Linked DNA regions of Arabidopsis thaliana. The protein of the gene in region 2 interacts with the protein of the main gene of each other region in a pairwise test. Each region holds a gene or a part of one and is shown on either strand. Other genes may lie near its edges.

Region 1 (7,425 bases), on a different chromosome or scaffold from region 2:
ATAAGAGTTTTGTAGGTTTCTGTCCAAAAGAAAAGCTATTTATCAACTTCCATTACTAACTAGACTACCCAAAAGAAAAGTTTATAGGTTCCTCCAGCCTAGAAGTCAAAGAACAGCATCATCATGACTAGTTTTCTTGTGATAGATACTATTTCAATTTAATAGATAAATACTAGTAATGATTATTGATCATTTAATGTCAAAGATTCATTCAAATCTAATCTTTTGGATGATTATTATTTATGCATACAACCTAAACTCCGCATACATTTTTCATGTTACATATGAGCTACCAAGTCCATTAAACGTTTTTTGCCAAAAACTATGATGATTAATTTAGTTTATTCGACATGCTTTTGAGGCCAATCTTTGTGTTTATATTTGTACATTAACACATGATAAAAACTTATAAGATTACTAATAATAATTCATCTTATATCTATCTATATATATATATATATATATATATATATATATATATATATATCAAATTTCGTAAAAGGAAGATGAAGAAAAACGAAACAAGTCCAAAACATAAATAAAAATAAATATCTTGCCATACATAATGTCATAATTGATTAAAGAGATTATCATCAGAATTTTTCCATATTACATATAGAGTTATGGACTCTCTAATTCAACAAACCTTAGCCAAAAACAACATCCCCTAACTTTTAATATCTAACATAACCAACCTTTTCCTTCATCAAACAAACGACCAACTAACGAGGGTAAAAGCCAAGCAGTGGTTTGATTCGTTGTCATCAACAACTTTCCACACCGTCGCTTGCTCATACGAAACCGGTCTGCCCATGCTCGACACACATATTCCTGCCGGAAGATTCGCATATCCCTGAAGAAGATTCAATCCAAACTTAGTATTTTCCAGGGAAAGACTTAAAAGACTAGCTAGAAAATGTTTAACCTGCTGCATGATCTTGGCGAACTCGGAGCAAAGAGCTCTACGACCAGAGTCATCAAGTGTTTTGTCGAGCATTATATCCTGAAGTGCCACAAGTGTAGTTTCAAGCATGTCTAAACCAGCTTGGTTTGCAAATGTGAATACCGGTGAGGCCTGAGAACCAAAAAATAATCAGACAATTCCCAAACCGAACCATAAACTAGATTGAGCACCTCTTAAAAAAACAGAATTCTTACATTAGTTTTCAGGGAGCAGCACAATATGGCATCACTATGGTCCCAGAGTTGCTTAAGCAATGTGTCTCCTCCACAGGACTGAGAATCAGCTCCAAACAGATCTGCACCTGTATGAATACTAAAACATCGGAGAAAAACATTTTATTGAGTTATTAAATGAGATAAGCACATTCTATATTGTTACAAGTCTTTAGATTAAGGTTCTAAGAAGAGTACCTGTAACTACGGGTGATCCAACGGACAAGAGTGAGAGCTTCAGGGGAAGTGGGAAGTTGCATTGAGCCAGGACGAGGCGTAATGGCTAGAGCCACTCTCTGAATCGAACCAACAACGTTCCTCACATACTGTCTCGCCATTGTAGCAACATTGTCTCTGGAATGGTTATCAAACGTGAACTGGAAGGCTATTGTTAAGACCAATCTAGAGTTTGTTTCCGAATCGGTTTTGGTGGAACCATCTAGGGACGATGCTAGATCCCGTGTTCGACTTGCAGATTGATGATCATTCTGTAACGTTACATACAGGAATAAAAGAAAAAGGACTGTGTCAATTTCAAGATATCAAATTTCTTATCATAAACAGTTTTCTTTTTACCGGATTTGTTTTTTGGTCGAGTGGTATGACACGGAAACCAGAAGGAAGCAAAGGTGCATCATCAGCAAATGATTCATCGATTGGGGCAAAGACAAGCTGAGCACAACCTCCAACCACATTTTCATCAACGCCGCTACAAAGCTGGACAAAAGCAAAAAAGAAACCAAGAATTCAATTTCAATAACTCATCTTTAAGAATCCCTGAGTGTCTTTAGTATAAAGCAAACCTGCAGTAAATACATATCCCGGGATAAGCCCATGTCTTCAGGTGAGTAAGCATGACCTCCAAGTCTAACCACTTCGAGAAACTGAGAAACAAGTAAGCAAAATAGGATTATAGGCATGGCAAAAGAATAGACAACAAGGAAAATGTTCTTGAGATTCTTTGTACCTCTTCATGTTCGAGTGTCTGTGCGAGAGGAAGAATGACTTGGTTACTCGGGAACCCACCGGTTCTGACGCATGGAACAGCATATGGAGTTGCTCTGAGAGATGCAGCAGAATAGGCATCGACACCATAGTCTGCCCATTCAGCTCGGTGTTCTCTCAGGAACCGAATCAATACAAGGGGTGGAACATTCTTCAAGAGCAGATAAAAAAGAGAATGATGTCAGAAATTGAAGAAACCGGTTCTTTTGTCTATTCACAAGTGTCAAAACATGATATAGGCACCTGCAACAGCATAGAAGCTTTGGCACAGAGGACACCACTTCCAAAACTTGGAAGAAATGAGCTACCGTATTGGGAGCCAGCAAATTTAGCAGAGGAAGAGTTAATCATGATCGTAATATCCTCTCCTCCATCACTACTCATTGGAGACCATCCATCATCGACAAAACCATTTACAGCATCATTGAAACCCCTGAATTTCAAGAAAAGCAATTAGAACAATGCTTTAGAAAATAAAACTAAGCTTATCAAGGAAATGTATTACCGGCAGAGTCTCTGGCTGAAAGTCCTTAAAACTGCAGGCTGGCGTCCACCACTATACTGGACTTCTCCACTAGTCTCTTGAGCAATTTGGCGCACATGTCTCAGAGCCTGAAATGTGGAAGTAAAACTCATAAAGAGAGCCTAATCAGGTCACGGGTGGATAAGGTTTATATGGAACTTACAGCGACAGTCATTTTTTGAGCAAGGATTTTGGAAGACTCATAAAGAGGCCTGAGGACTTCAGGAACACTTGAGACCTACCAAACCAAAAAAACGTATCAATCAACATAAATAGAAGGCTTTTACGAAACCTAATGTGCTATTACAAATCCAATATGCTTACATCCAAGTCCACATGATCAACGATGTGAATAATGGAACCACCACCATCACAAGGACGGATAAGAAACCCGCTTGACAGCATTTTGGCTCTCACGAAGCTTGAAGAAAGTGGACCATTGGGGCCACCAGTTGCAGAAGTGAGTGATCTCTCACAGACCTGAAGGCAAAAAAGCAAATATAAGGCAAATCTAATAAATAGAATCATAGATGAACAAAACCAGGTCCTAATACCCACCACATAGCTTCCATCTTCTAGACTTGTACTATATCTCAGCGTCCAAAAGTCACGAGCTGCTGCTAATGTTGTAGGAGCATAAATCTGATAACCAACCATGAATAATGATCATTACATTTTAAAGGAACAAAAACAACACTCATGGATTTATGAAACAGACCTGAGTGTTGACAAGCTCGATAGTACCACCATTTCCAGTGGGTATAACATTCAGAGTCTCGACACATCGACAGTCACGGAACCAAGATGGACGATCTTTGAGGATTTCAGCGACCTACACAGTATTTGAAGTTTAGATTGCCTTCGTAGAATTTCCGCTTCTTACAACACAAGATTAAAATAAAAAGAAAACACCATTACCTTCATGGGTTCTAAACTCACGAGGCCACAGGCACGTGCTGCTATTCCACTGCAGTTGCGTGAAACAGCTACGATACCAATAGAATCCGGACCAGGCTACATACATAACCATGAAAATACATATTAAAACATTTTCTAAAAACCACTTCATTTCCACATATGAAAACGTTAAAATACTTCAACTTATCTACCTTCATCCCAATCATCTGGACCCAGTCGACAGCAGTTCCTGTAGCCTTGCAAAGGAACTCCGCCAAGGTCTCCTCCGCAATCGAGAGAAGACTACCAAAAAAACACTCCATTTAGTCTCTTCTCATAATGTCACAATGAGAAATTCACAAACAAAAAAAGAGCCTTCCTTACTTAGCTGGGTTGTTAACATCACGCTGAGGATGCTGATGTGTTGGGTTTTGCTGCTGACGTTGCTGACCACTCACGACCACAGACTCACAGCTGTTGTCTGTGGTCGTCCCAGAAGCCTAAGACACAACACAGAGATTTCACCAGTCACTCTCTAACAACAGAGAACTCTTAAAGAACAAATACATATACAAGCATCAAAGATAACAACTCAACAATGCATTTAGCAAAAGGGATTCAAGGACTTACAGTGTGGATTCGATGTTTCATGAATCCATTCTCATAAACCAAGTTGGAGACTTGCTTCTGCAAACGATCATTCTCTTCCATCAAAAGCTTGTTCATAGCACTCAGCTTCCTGTTCACTGTCTGAAGACGAGCTGACTCTTTCCTCTGCTTCTCTCGACATCTAAAAAGTCAACAAAACAACCAAAAGAAACCAGAAAAGTTAAAGACAAACCTATAGCAGTATGATAAATGTGTTGAAATAATAGAAAAATGAACAGAAGAAACACACACTTTTTTGCTTTAGAATGATACCAGAATGACATAAAGAACAAAAGATAATGTAATTTCCAACATATTCTCTGCAGAAGGAAAAAAAGAGAGAGGCGTTTTAAAGCTCATCAAAGACAGTTTGATTAGCTGTCACTTTTCCTTGTGATTTTAACTTTCAACTGTGTCAACAAAAGCCTAATAAGCAAAAAGAGAAAAACAAATTTATAGACATAGATCTGAAAGTTTCAAAAGCTTAACAATCACCAATTAGACCAAAAACAAGAAGATTACCAAAAACATTGTCAGACAAGAACATTTTTGTCTCCAAATACAAACAAAAGAAATTCAATTTTATAATTACAGAAACAATCAAAGAACACAAAAAACATTCCATTAAAGACAATTAATAAAGAAATAATAACCTGCGATTCTGGAACCAAACTTTGATCTGTCGAGGCTCGATGTTACAGAGAATGGGACATTCACGAATAAGCTGTTGTCTTCTCAGAGAGCTAGGTTTAGGACACTCAGCATAAACTCTCTCAAGAGCTTCAACTTGTTCCGGCGTGTATCTAACGTACTTGCCGGAATCAAATCCTTTATCAGGAGAGTCTCTATCGTCCATGGAGTGATGAGCCATCATATCTTCCAAACAGGTCAGTAGAAATCAGAGAGAGAGAGAGGGTTTACAAAAAGAAGAATAAAGATCGATACTTTGAGAGAAGTAAAAGAGACTCAGATGAAGAAATATTAGATGGGTAGGCTCTCTGAGAAGAGAGAGCCTCCTGTGAGAGTGTTCATGAGATGGTAATGGTTGGAGAAAAGAGTTTTTTGGGTTTTTTTCATTTGCTCTCTCTCTCAAAGGAGATTGAAAGATGGAAAGAGGTAAAAGGAGCAAAAGCGAGGCAGCTAAGTAGAGAGAAGAGAGAGAAGAGAGAGAAGAGAGAGGAAAATACTGAAAAAGTAAAAGTAAAGATCTTTCTGAGAGAGAAAGGACAAGGAACAACCCAACAAGATGCACTAAACTGGTAAATATTGTTTTCAAAAAAAATTAAAGGTGAAATTTTTGGGAGAGTAGGTTGAATTCAATGTTTTTGGTTAAAAGCTTTTTACTGTTAAGGCAAAGTAAAAATATTTAAACTTTTTCTTATACAAAGCTAAGCTTGAATTTTAATTCAAAGCTTAAATTCTAAAAGTTAAAATGATTAACTAGGATAAAAGTTTATGTCTTTGATAACTCATTATCAAAGCGGTAGAGTTTGTACAACTTTGACAGTTATCATTTATAAAATCTTTATCAAAAACGTTATAAAAAGTTTTATTCTCAATTTTATTATACAACTTTCTCGTACAACTCTTTTTTATAGTTTGCAACTATTCCGAAAAATTTTACAATTCATCTAAATTACCAGTTGGACCCATATATATTCTTTGGTTGCCACCATATAAATATTATTAGTTAAATAGATAATTATAATATTGATTGAATTAGATTAACAATTCATTTTAAAAGTTTCGTAATATTTGATGCATAGTTATAAGTAAATAATTACTTGTTTTATTATTTTTTCTTACAACTCTTTTAAATAGGTTTAATATGAGATGGAATCTTGATTACACTTCTCTAATTCATATCATTACCACCTAATTTTCTTTGTGTAAACATGTTTCTGTATTCAATATTCTTGGATTAGATTAAAAGGACAAGTAGATGTTGACAATTAAAAAGGATTGAAAGTGATTAGTTTTGAAAAACTTAAATGCATTCAGATTTCAGACTAAGGCTAAACACAAACAGATGAGAAAACCAACACGCAAAGTTGTTGTCTCTGCAAATTTTAAGACATATCAATTATTATCAGAATCCCTAGTCCTAATGGCAATCGATAAGAATAAATATGTTTATCTATTGGTAACAAAAATAAATCATGCTACAACTATTTATATTCGTAAAACGTAAGTGTTGTTGTCAGAAGAAACGGAATTTTGACAAAATGGGGTAATTTGCTAACTTAGGGAAAGAAAGCACTTCTCTTTAAGCTCTGTGACAGTGGCCTACCCAAACATAGCATCAAATTTTCCCTACCCTCTTTGCTCTCTAGTCCTAAGACGTTGTATGTATGTATGTATGTGCATGTACATATTTTCATGATGATGGTGTTGTTGTATGCCTATCTTTTGTATCCATGTGGAAGAGACGATGCATGACAAGTATGTACAATGTCACTATGCGCGTGAGATGCGTGAAATCTGTTGTTTTTTTTGGTTAACCTTAATTGGTTTTATTTCCTTTAACTTGTTTTGAAAGTTTTGAATATAAATTAGGGAATTTAATGAAAAAAACCCTTAACTTTGGCCAGATCCATTTTAAACCCTAAACTATGTTTTTAGTAAAACAAACCCTGAACTAAAACCTGTTAATAAACTTAACTCCACAGTAATTAATTATTAATGGGATATTAATTTCTAAAAAAAAAAACAACGAGACATTTGTATTTAGCGCAAAAACCACATGATGTTCTTTAAAACTATTTTGAATTTATTACAAAAAAACGTTCTAAATGATTTTGAATTGCTTAATTAGTTTGGATTTTAGAAGCTGAAAGAAAGACACAACAACTTAAAATAATCCAAAGAGTCATACTTAAATAAATCCAACCAACATAACTATCGAAGCTGTTGCAACACAACAATATTTGTCACAAAAAAAACAATCGTTTCAGAGGGACAAGATATTCTAAAGTAAAGACTTGTCAAGCATTAACTTTGAAGAGAAGATTGTATTGGCTGAGTGATAGGGTTCTCTTCATCCATTGTTTTCTGTTTTTTCCTTGGTCGTCTTTGAGGTTTCTTGGGTGGTTTTGGCACTGCTTTACGCTTGCATGAACGTTTGTTGTGTCCGACTTGTTGATAGTTGCTACAAGTCTAAATATGCAAAGATTAAA
Region 2 (5,943 bases):
TGTTCTTAACGAATAATTGTCTCACTGTTTCTTTGTTAATCTTGAACTCAAAGACCATCCCTATAATAGTTAGAAAGATGCACAATTACAAAGCAGAAACTAGTGCTTACATCGATCACGATACTCTCTTCTCTGACCTTCTATTTTCCTCTAAGCTGTGATTTATGCTTATCCAGATTACTATTGAAATCGTCGACGAAGTGCGTTTGTTGCCCAATGCCATCTTTCCAGTCTCCGGAAGAAGAGATAATGGAGAAAGACAAACAGGGGAGAGAAGAGTGGATCAGGAACAGAGTCGAATGTATCCAAAGTTAGTTATGTGATTTGCTCGTGAGTCTCATGGAGAGAGAAAAACAGAGGCCCATACCTCTAGGGCTTAGTAGTTTTGTTTTACCCAGCAACAGCATGGCTTAGTTTTGGGCTACTTCATTATTTGGTCACTGAGGACTACAGTGTCGTCTTCTCTTTATGCAGCGAGCCTGCGACACTCAAATTAAAAATTCGGTTTGGAAAGCTTGATGCTGTGGACCTGAGGCTTCTGTTTTGTCCCCTTGAAATGCAATGATGGAATTGCAAATTGTCCCTCAGACGTGTTACTCTCTTATTGGTTCACAGTGAAATTTCCTAAGGCCCCACTTGCGTTCGGAGTTTAAAGTTGCTGCTTTTATCACCATCCGACATCCGTCTTCAAGATCCTTTCTACGTGCAACAACATCAAACTCTTGAGTCTTGCTTGACCAAGAAAATAAAAAGCAACTTAGGTTTTCCAAAAGAGAAATTTCGAAGACATGGTGCGAGTAGTACGGAGGAAATAATCGGGGACAAATCAGCATAAGCAAGGTGGGATTAGCTGTTTAAGGTTTAATGGGACCAATTCAATTATAGAATGATATAAATGTAAATCACAAAATGCATGATTTGTGTGCATCTTTTTTACAAGTCTTCACAACTCCATGCAACACTTAATTAAATTTTAATCCTAATGAGTTATTATAATGTTAGCTCGTTTTCCGATTCTTTTTGCATCTCGTTATCATCATGGCTTTCTTGAGGTGACGTAAATTGAATAATGAAAAAGAGAGCCTAAGAAATGAATTGGGAAAGAAGAGTTTTTTTAGGTCCAAACATAAACACCTGCAGAAATAAAGATGCATACCAATTTTACACCTTTTTCTGTTCCCCCACTCACTCATAATCTGCCGAATTTACAGCCTCACTCGTTGTAACAAAAGAATCAAAATACACATACAGTCTCACTGCTTGTCAGATTTTGGGGATTGCATTTGAGATTTGTATAGTAAAGCCCCTTCAGATGTGGCTAAAAAATACACCGTAACGTACGATGTGAAAACTATGTAAGATAGAAATATGGAGAAACTGGCTATCAGGATATATATATATAAAAAATAATGTAAAGAGTCGGATGTGGCAGTAAGTCTCTCTTCAAATGTAAGTGTACTGACATTATATCAATCATAGGAATGAGAGCATCACTTTAAAAACGGCTCAAACTGAATAAAACTTAAGATTAGGGTATGGCATATTGCCGGATATATAGTAGTCGTAGACGAACGATATACCTGTGCTAGTGTGTCTGATTTGTTGACCAAAAGCACAAGACACCTAAATACATGTCTTCACCCAAATTTCAATTTTGTAACCTTGTTTTTCACATTAATATTTCTACAGGCAAATCATAATTGCAATTAATTGACCTAAAGTAGTAATTTGAAAGGTAAATTAATGTTAAAGTAAACCTAAAAAAAGAGTAATGTGAAAAGCTGACAATAAAACAAGGCTGAGTTTAACGATCACAGTTGAAAACTGCCAGCTGCAAATCTTGCTTTTGATGTGAGCTTTCACAGAGACAGGGTCGTTGACTTTTGTAACAGTTGAAAATTGGAGTATACTATTACATTAACATTATACCTACAAAATTTGAACTTAATAATAAAAGATCAGGTAACAATTGTTTTAATAGAACATTATCTCCCTTAGTTAATTACTTTTGAAAACCAAGATTAGTACGTTATAATCTTCACCTCCGAAGATGTTTTAAAACCCTAATTCTACCGTAAGAATCTAAAAAAAAGTTATGATTTGTTGTACTCTCTCTGTGTGGAATTCAAGATCTTGAGTTGGAGAAGAAGTGCGTACCAGTCATGAAAGTGTTAATGGGAGTAGGATAATTAAGTGAGGCAGGATCGATATAATGATCTGAAGTGGAGCCAACGACTCCATTGTTGCAGCTCACGTTTGGGCTTGATGATGAGGCCGATGGGCCTGCGGTTATGAGATTCAACGGCTGAGATCCACCGCCCGAGGAGCTTCTCTCGGCCGGGCCTTGATCGTAGAGAACACCTTTGAAGACGTGACCGCCTATACTCACAGCTGTTTTATATGCATACTCTTCTTCTTCATCATCTACGGAACTCACACGCACGCACCGAAAAACTGCCGACGAGCTAACTTCCGGCGGAAAATTCCCAACCTCCAACCCTAGATAGAAAACATTTAATTAATTATTGTTAATTATAAGAAAAAATCGTAGGAGTATTTTCAACGTATGATTTGTTTGTTTGTTTTTATCTTAACTCAAATTAATAATTACAGCATTAACAAACAAATAAACAAAAACTTAATAATTACAGGATATAAACACAAATATCAAGATCAGTGAGAACAGTTTCTTCCTGTCATTCCAAGAGTCAGTCTTACTGATCTACAGTATTTCCATATTAAAAAAAAAAAATAGGAAGAAGAAAATCGTTCACCTTTTTTTTTTCTTGAAAATGAAAAAAGAAGAACAAAAAAAGCTGATCAAAATAGGGTTTCTGTTTCTGCAATTGAAACTAATAACTCAAGTTATTCAAAGCTCATTACTTTAATTTTCATTCAGGGGTGAATAACCATAAAGAGATATTATGAAATACCTGAAGTGTTGTTAGAAGGTATACGAGTGTAGGCCATGGAAGTCGATCTCGCCGGGATACGCTCTCTCTGTCGTTTAGGGACGCTCCCTCCCAGTTGCTGCGGTTGCTGACCGGTAGAAAGCTGCTGCTGGCGTTCTCGGCGTTTAGCGGCAGGAACCCACGTGCTCTTCACGTGAGTGGGACAGTCAAGGCCACGGCTCTTGCAGCAAGTCCTACATCTCATGTGAGAGCAGTCTTTCTTAGATTGATTCCCACAATCCTGGCAGCTTGGTCCGCCGCTACCGCTACCGCTTCTCATCATCATCAACGCACCGCCGGAAGTTTCAATTAAGCTCCGGTTGCTCGGTCCAACACCTAAACCCGCAGCGGAAGTGTAAAGATCCAGCCTTTGTTGCTGTTGCTGCTGCTGCTGGAAAATGATTTCTTGATTGTTTGGGTGTTGCCATAGCTCAAGGGTTCCTTTGTAAGAAGGACCAGCTTCTCCACCGTCAGCGTTAGAGTTAGGGTTTCTGCACCAAAGCCAAGATTCTGTTCCCGATGAAGAAGGATTATTAGTGTTTGTTCTGTGGTTGTCTGGAGTGTTTCCTCCTCCGCCGTGTCCTAACGAGAAAAATCCTGCCATTTTCCGATACCACCAGCCATATATGACCAATTTCAAGAAGGGCTTTGCTTTACCACATATTTACTTGCCTAGACTAAGATCTTGACTTTCAGAGAGTGAAGATCTATCAAAAGATTTTAACAGAAGAAGACAATAAAAGATCTCTCTCTTGATAGAGATCTTTAATTATGAGAGGATGAAGAAGAAGAAGACGAAAGAGATTAACTTAATGGAAGAATGTAGAGTAGTCTATATCTAGGGTTTGTTTAGAAATCGAATAGAGGTTTCTTTTAGTACTGAGAAAAAAGTTGGTTTGTCGGTATGGAGTGTATTTAAGAGGGGATAGAGAGAGAGAGAGAGATGTATCTCAGAGAGGTTTCTTTCTCTGTCTCGCGCTCTGCAACGCCGCCATCACCTTAATACTCTTCCTCTCTTATTAAATTCTCTGTCTCTCTTTTCTTTTTTGTTTGTTTTCCAGATTTTCCTTACACCAATTAATATCACAAAACACTTCTCGGACAAGATATATCTTACCGTTGATCATCACGTGTTTTAGATCCTGCGGTCAATATGTTGCCACGTTTACAACTTCGGCTTTTACTCTCTCCGTCTTTTCTCTACCGGAAAACACGCTGCCTCTTCCTTTGTTTGTCTGTTTGTGTTTGCCAAAATGCTACTATAATTAAATCCTACACTATTTGTTTATATGATTTACGTTTAGATATTAATCTGTGTATTATTTGTTCGAACGATATTTTAGTGAAATGAACGGAAGATTTCTTTATTTATGAGAAATCTATAGTTATGTAATATCTAAACTAAAACTTTATAATCATATATCGTCCTACACAACGTTGGGGACTGGGTATACTTGTATTTTTAGATTCTTTAGTTAGATTCGATGCAATTTTAATTATTATTAGCGAAATCTTGCTTTGGTTGCGTAGTGTATACCTGTGACTTTAAAATTAAGTGCCTAAAGTTCGCAGCTGGAAAACAGTTGCTTATCCATGTTTCCAAGGAAGCAAATTACTACTCTGTTATTTTTATCATTATATATACAAACTTTAATAATGAACACCTGATAGTATTAAAATATTTAATTATGTATACAATACATACACTGATGTATATCAATTGTCCCGTATACCTATACCCCATGAATCTTAATTTAATTGACCAATTAATCATTCCAAATTTTAACGAATTTCAGTTGTTTCAGAATATCAAACTACAGACAAAGTAAAAAACTGAAGATAGTTCATGGATTTTTCCAAAAGGATATGGAGAGTTGACTAATAAGAAGAGGGGCACTATAGTCATTTCCTAGTGGAAATACCCACTGTTGTGTAAAAGAGAGAATACATTTAATGAAAGTGAGGTTGTAAAAAATACATGTATTTATGAAATGGATGAAAGTTATTGTTGACATAAACAATCAGCAAAATCATCTATCCAACCTCTTCACCGTATTGTAAACAATGTTAATGTGTATCTATGAAATAGAGTATAAAAGACAACTTTAAATTTGATCTAGAAGCTGTAAATTTCAGAAATCAATTTGGATGTTTTAATGGTTTTCTTGTTATGACAATCTTAATGTATGTGAGGGTTTGTACTTTGTTGAATGCAAAAATTATGAGTGACTGAAATAGAGGAGAAGAAAATTGGGGATAGAGTTCGATGAATATATGCAATCATTTAGGACCGAGAAATTAAGAGAGGGAGTGGGCAAAAGGGACAGTGACATTCTCTCGGATTTTATTCTTGTATATAACTAAATTACAAATCCATAAATTCCAAATGTATTGGTAACATCGATTATCTTTGCAAATAGCAACAAACTCGCATAATGAAAGACTCACCATGAGCCAAAACTATTAAATTTCTTTTATTTTGGAGTTTGAATCTTGAAATTAGTACAAATAGAATAGTCTTTTTTTTCCAAAAGAAAAGGTTTAAAGTATCTTCTCGAGCACTGTGTTCTTCTTTTCTTTAAGTTTTCAGTGTCATAATTTATACAAATTTAGGTAAAGTTACTAACATTTTCTTAACTATTTAACCTTCCATTTCATGTCCTAGCAATTTTTCTAAAAACGTTGAAATTGTTTCCACTACCTTTTCTGCCAAATATCTGCACTTCAAACGCATCTAGTCATCTACCATTCTACTTGACCCCGGTACCATCTTTTGGAGATTTAGAATGTATGTTATGCCCATTATCAATAAGAAAACATGGAAATGTGGAAAGAACTTTATAAACTAGAGAATAAAGAAAAGTAAGTTTGGAGCATAGTGTTTGTTGGCTTCTAAATATCACTTGTACACAATTACACATTATTACCAATAAAGAGAAAATCACTTCTTAATATATATTTTTCTTACATAGGCAGAAAGAGAAGAGTGTTT

What was found.
Region 1: the proteins of SHI (region 2) and PHV interact in binary tests that used the Arabidopsis thaliana proteins (3 or more experiments, as listed by UniProt).

The regions. Positions count from the first base shown.
Region 1 is NC_003070.9:10,795,622-10,803,046, forward strand, and holds PHV (Homeobox-leucine zipper family protein / lipid-binding START domain-containing protein), read right to left. Parts: upstream 5,473-7,425; 5' UTR 5,124-5,472; coding exon 4,903-5,123; intron 4,392-4,902; coding exon 4,232-4,391; intron 4,102-4,231; coding exon 3,986-4,101; intron 3,905-3,985; coding exon 3,814-3,904; intron 3,719-3,813; coding exon 3,623-3,718; intron 3,537-3,622; coding exon 3,423-3,536; intron 3,347-3,422; coding exon 3,263-3,346; intron 3,185-3,262; coding exon 3,029-3,184; intron 2,943-3,028; coding exon 2,868-2,942; intron 2,794-2,867; coding exon 2,687-2,793; intron 2,615-2,686; coding exon 2,425-2,614; intron 2,333-2,424; coding exon 2,144-2,332; intron 2,061-2,143; coding exon 1,980-2,060; intron 1,894-1,979; coding exon 1,753-1,893; intron 1,665-1,752; coding exon 1,375-1,664; intron 1,277-1,374; coding exon 1,159-1,276; intron 1,076-1,158; coding exon 926-1,075; intron 854-925; coding exon 707-853; 3' UTR 503-706; downstream 1-502. UniProt on the Arabidopsis thaliana protein: Probable transcription factor involved in the determination of adaxial-abaxial polarity in ovule primordium. Specifies adaxial leaf fates. Binds to the DNA sequence 5'-GTAAT[GC]ATTAC-3'.
Region 2 is NC_003076.8:26,502,589-26,508,531, forward strand, and holds SHI (Lateral root primordium (LRP) protein-like protein), read right to left. Parts: upstream 4,222-5,943; 5' UTR 3,556-4,221; coding exon 2,934-3,555; intron 2,500-2,933; coding exon 2,158-2,499; coding exon of another isoform or gene 2,126-2,157; exon of another isoform or gene 1,930-2,125; coding exon of another isoform or gene 1,913-1,929; exon of another isoform or gene 1,353-1,912; intron 751-1,352; exon of another isoform or gene 700-750; coding exon 668-699; 3' UTR 566-667; downstream 1-565. Other genes in the region: AT5G66340 (uncharacterized protein), read left to right, coding at 177-310, 454-565. UniProt on the Arabidopsis thaliana protein: Transcription activator that binds DNA on 5'-ACTCTAC-3' and promotes auxin homeostasis-regulating gene expression (e.g. YUC genes), as well as genes affecting stamen development, cell expansion and timing of flowering.